Rattus norvegicus: one gene and its partner. The protein of the gene in region 1 interacts with the protein of each later gene in a biochemical or structural test. Links are inferred from orthologs where the notes say so. Each region holds a gene or a part of one and is shown in the gene's direction. Other genes may lie near its edges.

Region 1 (5,898 bases):
CAGGTTCGATCCCCAGGATGGGTAGAGGAGGAGATAGAAGTAACATCGTGCCAGGCTTTGCAGCAGGCTGTTGGGGCTCAGAGCTACTGCGGCACCCTGAGAGACTACAGACCCTGAAGCGGTATTACCCCACCCAAAGTGCAAAGTTGCCGAGTATTCATCCACCGTCCCTGTCTGCCATTGGTCGAGGGTACTTCTGACTCACCACGCATGCTTCCTGCACTGCCATAGAAACAAGTCTTCAAGCTGAAAGGTTTAGTGCAAGTGAGAAGGCATGAATTAAGAAACATGACAGCAGGGGTTGGGGATTTAGCTCAGTGGTAGGCCCTGGGTTCTGTCCCTAGTTCCGGAAAAAAAAAAAAGAAAAAATAAAGAAACATGACAGCAGATAGTTGAAGTCTGTGTGCAGCACAATACTAGAAGGTTCCAAATGGCTTTAATCCTTTTTTTATTGAGACAGGATCTTGCTGTGTGGACCAGGCTGGCATTAAACTCATAGCAACCTTCCTGTCTCAGCTTCCCAAGTGTGAAATTTCAGGCATGAGCCACCAGGCCCAGCTGCAGTGACTCCCTAAGGGAAAGTCAAGTTGGATTGAGTGGAGTGTGGTCAAGAGTGAAGAGCAGTATGGGAGGCTTGCAAAACCTCTGGGAAAGTCTATTGATGAGCCTGCCTCACACAGGACATTAGAACTACCTGGCACATTTCATACTGCTCAGATCCTGGGCCTGTGGTCAGCCTGCAACCTTCAGTGGAGTCTGCCTTTGGCACTTAGACCTCCTTTGTCTTGTCACTTAGGAAGGGCGGGAGCTGACTCTTGAAAAGCCAGAACTCAAAGTCCTAGTGTCAGAGAAGCTGGAGGACCTGCACAGGCGCTGGGATGAACTGGAGACTACCACCCAAGCCAAGGCCCGCAGTCTTTTTGATGCTAACCGGGCAGAGCTATTTGCCCAAAGCTGTTCTGCCCTGGAGAGCTGGCTGGAGAGCCTGCAGGCCCAGCTGCACTCAGATGACTATGGCAAGGACCTCACCAGTGTCAACATTCTGCTAAAGAAGCAACAGGTATGCAAGGAACCTTTGGGGAGGGTGAACAGCCAGACAATGGAAGAGGGTGCCTAGCTTTTGGACTTCAGGAGGCCTGGTGTATGACATCTTTTAGCATTTCTGACAGTGATCTTAATTAAATACAACATCACAGTCTACAAGGCTGTGAGTCAGTCAGGAAAGTCAGGAGACAGGCCACACTAATAACTTGAACAGAGGAACTTTAGTTTAAAAGAGCTACTCATTAGTAAAAGGTGTTACTACTAAAGGTGTTATCTCGGTCTGTGCTCTGTTACTACAATAAAATACCTGAGACTGGGTGATTTATTTTTTTAAAAACTTTATTTTGGCTTGCAGTTTTGGAGGTACAAGGGTGTAGTAGCAGTCAGTATCTGCTTGGTTTCTGATGAGTCTTGTACTGTGTCGTAAGAGGACAGAACAGAATGGAAATTAGTTCGTGTGAGAGACAAAACCCGAGAGGCAGCCTCACTTTACAACCTGTTCTTGTAACTAACCAAGTCCCATGGGAACTACATAAATCCCTTTAATGATCTACTCCATCTTGTAAAGGCCTCTTACTGTCTGTCAACACTTTACTTTGAGGACCAGACTTCAGCATAAGTTTTGGAGGAAACAAATTACAACTTAAACCAGAGCAAGTCTAAAAAGAATTTTACAGTTGGTGTCAGAACACCTTTTCTCTGTAAAGAGGCAGTAGGGCCAACAACAGCTCTGTGTAAAAATGCTTATCACCAGCCTGAGTTCAAGCCCTAGAACCCATATACAGCCACAGATTAATACAATATAAAAACATTTCAACAGAGCTAAATGATAAATACTTTGCATTCTGTAGGTCATAGGATCTGTCCCAGCCATTCAACTTTGTCTTTCTTATATATAAACAAATGCCATGCACAATACTATAAGGAATGGACCAGTGCACCAATATACTTAATCTAGTAAATAGGCTGTCTTTGCTGATTCCCCGACCCTAAGAGTCCGGAATAGCAGGATTCTTTTCCCTGGAGGGGAAAGAGCCACTAGATCGCTTGTACTCTGATGGCAGTTTGAAACCCAAGCGAAAAGCTAGGCCTGCTTCAGTGTTTCGGGCTTTTCCTCTGGTGCCCTCTTCTGACAAGACAGGCATTGCACTACTTGGAAAAAAAATCATGTTTGTAGGGACTAGTTCAACATCTGAATGTGTGCGTGTGTGTGCGTGTGTGTGTGTGTGTGTGTGTGTGTGTGTGTGTGTGTGTGTGTGTGGTGTGTGTGTGCGCACGCGTGCCTGCCTGCCTGCCTGCCTGCCTGCCTGAGTTTGTGACTGACCTATCCAGACTATAAGGAGTTGTTCTTCCTGGGAGAAGGCCCCAGGAATCGGAAATCATGGGTGGTTTGATAGAGGCTTCTGCCTTATGAGTTTGAAGGTAGAAAAGTGGCACCAATCTCTCTTATCTCCTCTATGTTTGTAGATGCTGGAACGAGAGATGGCTGTGAGAGAGAAGGAGGTAGAGGCTATCCAGGCCCAGGCAAAAGCCCTGGCCCAGGAAGACCAAAGTGCAGGAGAGGTGGAAAGGACCTCCAGAGCTGTGGAGGAGAAGTTCAGGGCCTTGTGTCAGCCCATGAAGGACCGCTGCCGGCGCCTGCAAGCCTCCCGAGAGCAGCACCAGTTCCACCGGGATGTGGAGGATGAGATAGTGAGTTACGGCAAGCTGCCCTGGCCATGTGGCTCTCAGGCCCACTTCCTGGGCAGTGGGGAAGTGCCTCAGGAAGTGGCCCATCCCCTCCAAGGACATTCACGGATGTTCTGCTAGGTCCCTGCCCTCAGGTACACAGTTGGAGCTGTGGGTAGCTCCGCTCACATCTCCACTGACCTTTTCTTTCTCTTCAGCTGTGGGTGACCGAGCGGCTTCCCATGGCCAGCTCTCTGGAGCATGGCAAGGACTTGCCCAGCGTCCAGCTTCTCATGAAGAAAAACCAGGTGAGGCAGAGGGCAAGAGTGAAAATAAGATTCTCAAGGTTCTTCACACTCAGACCTTTGTTTTTTCCCTTTTTGTGTGGTGATGGGAGGTGGAGGATGAGTGCTGTTGGTTTGAGACAAGATCTTACTATGTATCTTTGGGTGGCCTTGAACTCACAGATCCACTTTTGTCTGCTGGAGTTAATGGTTATGTACACTGCCATGCCCCACTCTCTTGTTTTCTCTATGATGGGGTGTCTCTGGCATTGTCTTCTTGCTTGTTGCCCTAGACTTGGTGAATTACCTTTCCCTAGCGCAGGAGAGTGGCCTCTGTGGTAGGAAAGCATGAGGATTGAAGGGGTATCACATTGCATCCCAAAGAATCTTCCGGAGGGAGGATGGGGAGGGGAACACCCATATAGAAGGGGAGGGGGAGGGGTTGGGGGATGTTGGCCTGGAAACCAGGAGGGAATAACAGTCGAAATGTAAATAAGAAATACTCACGTTAATAAAGACGGGGGGAGGGGGGGAAGAATCTTCCAGAGGATTCAGGAAAGAGAAGAATGTAGGGAGGGCCCAAGGTGGAGTAGGTCTAAGGGGTTCGAACTTTTTGCAAGCCGTTCACTGTATCTTCTGTTGCTCTGGACAGACTCTGCAGAAGGAGATCCAGGGCCATGAGCCCCGGATTGCAGACCTCAAAGAGAGACAGCGCACTCTGGGAACAGCAGCAGCGGGTCCAGAGCTGGCTGAGCTCCAGGAAATGTGGAAACGCCTGAGCCATGAGCTGGAGCTTCGGGGTAAACGACTGGAGGAGGCCCTTCGAGCCCAGCAATTCTATCGTGACGCTGCAGAGGCCGAGGCTTGGATGGGGGAGCAGGAGTTACATATGATGGGCCAGGAAAAGGCCAAGGTGAGCGTCAGAGCAATGGCTGGTTTGTGTGGCCAGTTCTTCTGCTCCTGGCCCCTGCTGCCTGACACTCAATTTTCCCTCTCCCAGGATGAGCTGAGCGCCCAGGCAGAAGTGAAGAAGCATCAGGTACTAGAACAAGCCCTTGCTGACTATGCCCAGACCATCAAACAACTAGCAGCCAGCAGTCAAGATATGATTGACCATGAACATCCAGAGAGGTGAGTGTATGAGTATCAGGGAACCCTGGAGGAGCGGGGAGGCTGGTACTGGGAAAGTAAAGGGATGGTGGCGTCTTATGAACCACGTGCACACAGAGTAGAAAGTTGGGAGGAGCAGAGACTTGGCAGGCATTAGCAGGCAGAGCAGTTGGATGGCAGAGCTCCACAGAAGGAGCCATTCTCTCTACCTCTGCAGCACAAGGTTAACAATACGCCAAGCCCAGGTGGACAAGCTGTATGCCGGCCTAAAGGAGCTGGCAGGAGAGCGGCGTGAGCGTCTGCAGGAGCACCTCAGGCTGTGCCAGCTCCGCAGAGAGCTGGATGACCTGGAGCAGTGGATACAGGAGCGAGAAGTCGTGGCAGCCTCCCATGAACTGGGCCAGGACTATGAGCATGTGACTGTGAGTACTATGCAGATCAGCACCGGGAAGGATCAGGGCCCACAGGGAGACCAAAGCGTTGGCCCAGGCAGGATGATGAGGGTGGGGACGCAGCAAGAGTAGGTGGGTTTTGAGTTACCCAACTTGAGCAACTGTGCAGAAAAAGGGGTACAGGGATGGCCATAGGTGAGGATCAAAATGAAATTTCTTTTCTAACAGACCTCAACAAAAAAGGGAGTGTCTCAGATTCACTGCTGTGGTTGGAGATTTGGGTCCTCTGGTGCAGAAATCCAGCCCATACTTAGGGTATCCTTATTAAGGGCTATGGGTTTGGAGTGTCTCTAGATACCTTTCGTAGGATGTCAGGTGTCATATAGGACTGTGGTATTATGTTACCCCAGCCATTTTAGTTCACATTTGTACCCTGGTGAAATTCCCCAGTGATGCATTTCTCAGGTTGTGTCCTGTTAAGCAAGTCACAAGTGTAAATTTAAAGCTGCCATACCTGCTCACTGACCAGTGGGTTCTCAGCGAGAAGTGACGGCTCCTTGAGACAGGGACCTCACACAGGTGGTCTCATCTCTGTCTTTACAAATGCTTCTTCCATCAGATGCTTCGGGACAAATTCCGAGAGTTCTCCAGGGACACCAGCACCATTGGCCAAGAGCGTGTAGACAGTGCCAATGCCCTGGCCAATGGGCTCATTGCTGGGGGCCATGCTGCACGGGCCACCGTGGCCGAGTGGAAGGACAGTCTCAATGAGGCCTGGGCTGACCTGCTGGAGCTGCTGGACACAAGAGGTCAGGTGCTGGCTGCTGCTTATGAGCTGCAGCGCTTCCTGCATGGGGCCCGCCAAGCCCTGGCACGGGTGCAGCACAAGCAGCAGCAGCTTCCAGATGGGACGGGCCGCGACCTCAATGCTGCTGAGGCCCTGCAGCGCCGGCACTGCGCCTATGAGCACGACATCCAAGCCCTCAGCACTCAGGTCTGACCCTAGCTGAACAAGTCGGGAGGGAGGGGCTGAGAGGAAACTGTGTGTTGGGAAATGGGGGGGGGGGTGTCTTGTGTGCTAGGGAAAACCTGGGGAAGGATGGCACCCCTGAAGGGGCATTTGGAGATGAGGTTAAAATCACTCCTGAAAGATACCTCCAGCCGATGGATATCAGCTGTCACATTCAGGATTCTTTTATAGCATCAGAGTACAGGTTACAGTGTATATGGAGGTCAGAGGGCAGTGTTGTAAGAGTTGTTGTAAGAATCAAATATTTGCACTTTAGGTTCTGGTAATCAGGCTTGAGTGAGTGATTTTTACAAATTGAGGCATCTCCCTGGCTAAGTTCATGCTTTTAATGAGGACCTACAATTTTTTCAAATGGTTCCAATGGCTGCAA
Region 2 (5,898 bases), about 44 Mb from region 1:
TTAAAATGTAAACATCCCACCCAGGGTCGGTGGTACACTTTTATAACCCAGCACTTGGGAAGCAGAGGCAGGTAAGTCTCTTGAGTCTGAGGCCAGCCTGGTCTACATAACAAGTTCTAAGCCAGCCAGGGGGTACAGACATCTTTTTTAAAAATAATAAAAATAAGTAAATAAGTAAAAGGGCTGGAAATAGAGCTCTATGAGGAGTGCTTGTCTAGCGGGAAACAATTTCCAATACCATGAAAAACCAATTTCAATATTTAAAAAGGGGGGCGGGGAGGCTGGAGAGATGGCTCAGCGGTTAAGAGCACTGACTGCTCTTCCAGAGGTCCTGAGTTCAATTCCCAGCAACCACATGGTGGCTCACAACCATCTGTAATGGGATCTGATGCCCTCTTCTGGTGAGTCTGAAGATGGTTACAGTGTATTCACATACATAAAATATTTTTTAAAAAACCAATATTAAATTTAAAATTTCTATTTTGAAATATATTTACCATAGAAAAACTTGAATTTAACAATATATTGACAGACAGAGGGACCTGTAGAGTAGTTTTGGAGGACAAGGAGGTGCACTCTGAGAATAAGGACAGAATGGGGCTTTAGGATGTGACATTGACAGACACGGGCATGACTTGTGACAGCCTCAGCTGACAAAGGCCCCCAGACAACAGACTTTCAGGGCAGGGTCACCAGGGTGGAGAGCTGACCTCACTGCCTGCCTCCTGGGCCTCTTTCCCCAGCATCCTGTGCTCCTGACTGAGGCACCTTTAAACCCTCGGAAAAACCGGGAGCGAGCGGCAGAAGTTTTCTTCGAGACCTTCAATGTGCCAGCTCTCTTCATCTCCATGCAAGCTGTGCTTAGCCTGTGAGTAGCAGCCCGGCTAGCGTGGCCTCTCTATAACCTAAGCCTCCGAATACATCCACTCTCCCCAGGGAAGATGAGCCGAGGTAGTGAGAAAAAGAAACTCTTACTGAAACTAGACATCGAAGTGCCTCAGATAAACCAAAGCAAAGTGTGGGTGCCCATTGCTCTCAGGTTTGGGGTTCAGGTCTGTGGTACACACCGCCGAGGCCCTTCTCAAGGTTCCTTAATGTATCCCAGTATTCACTCTGTGGACCGCGTGCCAGCTGTTCTGCAGGGCTGCTGGCATAGCTGTGGTCCAGACAGCACCACACCTGCCATGCTGCCCACCCGGCCTCATGCCTACCTCCATCAGCTGCTGAGATGGTGCCCTATGACCTACACAGACTATGTATTTGACCTCCTTAAATCATGAGCCAGCATTTGCAGGCTGGGAGATTTCCTGGGCTGGGGATGGTCCCCAGCACCCTCCCAAAACAAAAATAAAGGATTTCTTATCCAAATTTAAATTTCTAACCTCTGGACAAATGGAAATCTCTGATACCACTGGGCCAGCATTCCTGGACTAAATCCAATCTCGGCTGGCGCAGTTGCCGTGGCACGTTGGGTGTGCAAGCTGACTTTACCTATTGACCCCTGAATGCTGAGCCTGAGTAAGGGTTTGCCCTATTCCTGAGTCTCATTTCTGCCATTTGGATATTTTAAAAAAAAAAAAACCTAAAACTATGGGCTGACGTCAGAGGCAGCATGGGAAAGCCATAGCTCTCAGGGAAAGGGAAAAGCAGCCCCTTTTCCTCCTCCGCTGAATGCTTTTTCCTCCTCTTCTCTTGGGAATCGAAACTGCCCTTTAGGTCAGGTCCCCAGGACTGTAAACACCAGGCTGTGCTCTCAGACCAGAAGGCCTGTCCTTTAGGATGCTGGAGAAGCTTTGCTCCTCACTCAGTACTTCAAGGTCTCCTTAGTACCCAGGGACCCAGCCAGAGGGCCCAGGAGAAAAGTGGACCAAGGCTCAGAGCTCCCCTGACCCGGAGCTTTAACACGTGGACTTCTTCCTAGAGGGCATGGGGTTCAGTGATTGTCTCTTTGCCTCAGTTATGCCACAGGCAGAACCACAGGTGTGGTGTTGGATTCTGGGGATGGCGTCACCCATGCAGTCCCGATTTACGAAGGCTTCGCCATGCCTCACTCCATCATGCGCATTGACATTGCCGGCCGCGATGTCTCACGCTTCCTCCGCCTCTACCTACGAAAGGAGGGCTACGATTTCCACTCCTCCTCCGAGTTTGAGATTGTCAAGGCCATAAAGGAAGTGAGTGGTGTCCTGTGGCCGAGGGGTGGCAGGGGAATAGTGAACCTAAGAGTAAAGCAGGACGATGCTCCTGCTGGGTCCTGGGTCAGGCTCTGGATCCTCCTGGTACCTGTGTGCGTCTGTCTCGTCTGTCTTGCTCCTTCCCCTTCCTGAAAGCTGCCTGAGTGTGGGAAAGGAGCTGTTTCCAGTCCCTCAGCCCACAGGCCACTGCCCCTGAGTTTAGGATCACATCCTTGTTGAAGTTGAAATGCTTTTGTCTTCTTACGTAAACCCTCCTACCATGTATGGTTTGGGGAAACCTCTGAACTGGTGGGAAGCCAGAACCATACCAGAGGGAGGAGGAGAAAGGTGCCTGAGCCTGGCTAAACTTAGGCAGTCACAGGCCTGGGAGCTATGGAGCCAAGTTCCCAGGTTTGCTTACCAGGAAAGCAGAACAAGAATTCATGGTTTAAGTGTGCCCAGGACAGTGTGTCAGACCCCTGTCCCTGCTTGTGGGCGAGCACTTTTAGGCAGTCGCTGCAGATAGGCATGCTACTCCTGTGGACTTTGCCTGAGAGTGCACTAGGTTTCCTGCATACATGACTCATATCTGATTCTGCAGAGAGCTTGCTACCTGTCCATAAACCCCCAGAAGGATGAGACACTGGAGACGGAGAAGGCTCAGTACTACCTGCCCGATGGCAGCACCATTGAGGTAGTGACCACATTTTTCTCCTTTCCCCTCACACCTAAGCTTTGGGCTCAGCAGAAGGTCCTGAGAGGGCCTGACCAGCAGAACTGAGAACACAGCAGCCCAGAGCTTCTATGGGGACTTCCCTAGGGAGTACTTGTGTAGTGCTTGCTGTCCTAACCATCCCTGGGTACAGATTAGCGAAGTCACTGCTCCCTGGAACTCCAATTGATAAGACATTTCCTAGAGTGTCAATGCCAGAAATCTCTTAGCTAGAAAGTTCCAAAGCTAGTAGTAAGATAAGCACTCCCCCTAACCGCCACCCTAGTTCCCCAGAACGGTTTCTTTGGTCTGTTCCTAGGAGCCCTGTCTTTGCTCCTTGAGACCCTTGTCACAGAAGGTTTGTCTTTAGCCCGGGCTTCACAGACACCTGATTGCTAAGAGATAGGCAGGAAGGCCTCTTCTGTTCCCATTCCAGGGACCTCAGTCCCAGCCCAACCTCTTGAGCTGGCTCTTTACCCCACAGATTGGCCCTTCCAGGTTCCGGGCCCCTGAGCTGCTGTTCAGGCCTGACTTGATTGGCGAGGAGAGTGAGGGTATCCATGAGGTGCTGGTGTTCGCTATCCAGAAGTCAGACATGGATTTACGGCGGACGCTCTTTTCCAACATTGTCCTCTCAGGAGGTTCTACCCTCTTCAAAGGTTGGTCTTTGCTCTTGGGACCCTTGCTAGGGAAGCATCCTCATCCCACAGGGATCAGATGCCCAGAGTTAACTTGGGGGTCTCTGCTCTTTTGTAGGTTTTGGGGACAGGCTACTGAGTGAAGTGAAGAAACTGGCTCCAAAAGATGTGAAGATCAGGGTAGGGCACACTGCAGGCCGGGCCGGGCACAACGGGGCTCCACAGACTTGCAGGACAGGGCAGCTCTGTCCCCTGCCGGGTCTCCCCCAAGCTCTCCAGGTAGTGCAGACTAGTACCCCATGGCCTATCAGGAAAACTGAATTGACAGCTTGACCTTACCGTTACCGTGCCCTCTCCCATCCCCCAAGGTAGGACCCCTGTAATGCAGTTGCCTTCTGAACGGCTGCTGAAGGGCTTCATGTGGAGAGGACAGGCCCCAAGAGAAGGCATCTAATTCCTGCCATAGGTGTATCTCCCCACGTACGGTCAGGCTGGCCACAGCTCCTGCAAAGAGCCTATTGCGTGGTGTACATCCATTACACCCAGCCAAGGGACAGAGTGAGACAGTGGGCAGGGACAGGGTGGGGCTGAGAAGGTGGCTCAGCACTTGCTATGTAAGCATCAGGACCAGAGTGCAGATGCCCAGAATTCACATCAGAGCCAGGTAGGCATGGCCACCTCTTAAAATGGCAGCCTTTGGGAGGTAAAGACAAGGTCCCCAAGGGCAAGCTAGCTAGGTAGGCGAGCCAGCATGAGCCAGGAAGACCAGGTGTCAACCCTGGGCCTCCATGCACACACTCATGTGCATGTGCTCCCACACACCTGGGAACACACATGTAACAGAGGGATGACTGCGTCTGGGTGTCTTAGATTCCTCTCCTGTCCCCCTCTGCAGATATCTGCACCCCAGGAGAGACTGTATTCCACATGGATTGGGTGAGTAGCCCACGGAATAAGAGCAGAATGGGAAGCGAGGCTCTGACCATCCCACCATCCTACCTTGTCCCACCCCCAGGGAATTGACCGGCTGCACAATTTCATTCAGTCACACTGCTTCTCTGGGTTTTCTCCACTGCAGAGGCTCTATCCTTGCCTCCCTGGATACCTTTAAGAAGATGTGGGTCTCCAAGAAGGAATATGAAGAAGATGGTGCCCGATCCATCCACAGGAAAACCTTCTAATGTTGCGACATCACCACCTCTCTCTGAAGTTAACTCCACTTTAAAACTTTCTTGAGCTGGAGTGTTTGAGAGGAACTGCCTGTGTGTATGAGTGAGTGTGTGGGTATGGTATGAGTGTGTACTACTATGGAGTGCCGTGTGGCCCAGAAATCCTGGGCCCAGAGAGGACATTGAACTACCCACGAGGGGGATGGCCTGAGGCCTGGGGTTGACTACTCACTGGCCCCTTGCAGGAAGAGCTCTGGCAGAGGCCCACTCCTTTCTCAGCCAGGCCTTTGGCTGACTGTGTGGAACTATGGTTACTACCATGAGAGACCTTGCTGCTGCCAATCTCGGCTGGGCTGGCCCTGCTCCACTCCACCCGAGTGCCCTGAGGCCAGAGGCAGCTGCTGTCTCCCCAGCTCATCATTCTGTGCTGCCCATGCCTCTGGATCACACCGAGAACTGGGGCTGGGGTTAAGTTCTGTCTGGTTTGGTTCAGTTTGGGTTTGGGAGACTGAAAAAGCACTCTAGCAGTGGTTAAAGACTGGGTTCAGGAGAGAGCAGGGTACACTCACATCCACCTGGGAACCAGGTAGCAATTTGGACCGCACTGGGCATTTGGGAAGGATGGGGGATAGCTTCAGGGTTGATTTACAAGCTCCAGCCACATCCAGGGCTCGGGGACACTGTAAGGACTGTGGGCTCCAGGTCCTGCTGTTTGCTTCTCATACATCTTGGTTTCAATACCATCGCCATCGGTTTATTTATTGACATGTTTGTTCAGTAAAGGGAGTAGAGAGGGCTCCTGTCTCCTGCCCACTGGTCACCTTTGCTTACACTAATGTTTACAGCACCCAGGCTTTCCACAGTATCAGGGGCTCTGGCATTCCCTGCTGATAGTGAACTGACAGTATTCACGGGCCTCAGGACCCTGTGGGATTGGAGGCCGCACATGAAGGCACCCCAACCAGCCTCTTCCTTTCTCCTGGCCCCACTTGCTCACTGCCCTGGAGCCAACAGGCTGGTTGTGGTTGGATTTTCTAAGACAGGAAGGAGCATCCCTCTTTGGCAGAGGCCCTTTGTGAGGGGGGTGTGTTGGAGATCTAGACCCTTCAAAACAAAGCAAGCTGCAGTTAACCATGTTGCCTTTGCCACTCTAATTGACCGGGCGACTAAGTCAAAGTGGCAGGGAGGCCCCCTTCGAGGTTGGT

What was found. The genes of interacting proteins can lie anywhere in the genome.
Region 2: the proteins of Sptbn2 (region 1) and Actr1a form a complex in vitro, tested with the Homo sapiens proteins (2 studies listed by BioGRID). The link is inferred for Rattus norvegicus from reciprocal best matches to the Homo sapiens genes SPTBN2 and ACTR1A.

The regions. Positions count from the first base shown.
Region 1 is NC_086019.1:211,462,103-211,468,000, forward strand, and holds part of Sptbn2 (spectrin beta chain, non-erythrocytic 2), read left to right. Parts: intron 1-796; coding exon 797-1,060; intron 1,061-2,511; coding exon 2,512-2,736; intron 2,737-2,930; coding exon 2,931-3,020; intron 3,021-3,648; coding exon 3,649-3,909; intron 3,910-3,996; coding exon 3,997-4,127; intron 4,128-4,323; coding exon 4,324-4,528; intron 4,529-5,117; coding exon 5,118-5,492; intron 5,493-5,898. UniProt on the Homo sapiens protein: Probably plays an important role in neuronal membrane skeleton.
Region 2 is NC_086019.1:255,179,621-255,185,518, reverse strand, and holds part of Actr1a (alpha-centractin), read left to right. Parts: intron 1-743; coding exon 744-868; intron 869-1,957; coding exon 1,958-2,174; intron 2,175-2,775; coding exon 2,776-2,868; intron 2,869-3,370; coding exon 3,371-3,545; intron 3,546-3,642; coding exon 3,643-3,704; coding exon of another isoform or gene 3,705-3,857; exon of another isoform or gene 3,858-4,419; coding exon 4,420-4,460; exon of another isoform or gene 4,461-4,602; coding exon 4,603-4,705; 3' UTR 4,706-5,898. UniProt on the Homo sapiens protein: Part of the ACTR1A/ACTB filament around which the dynactin complex is built. The dynactin multiprotein complex activates the molecular motor dynein for ultra-processive transport along microtubules.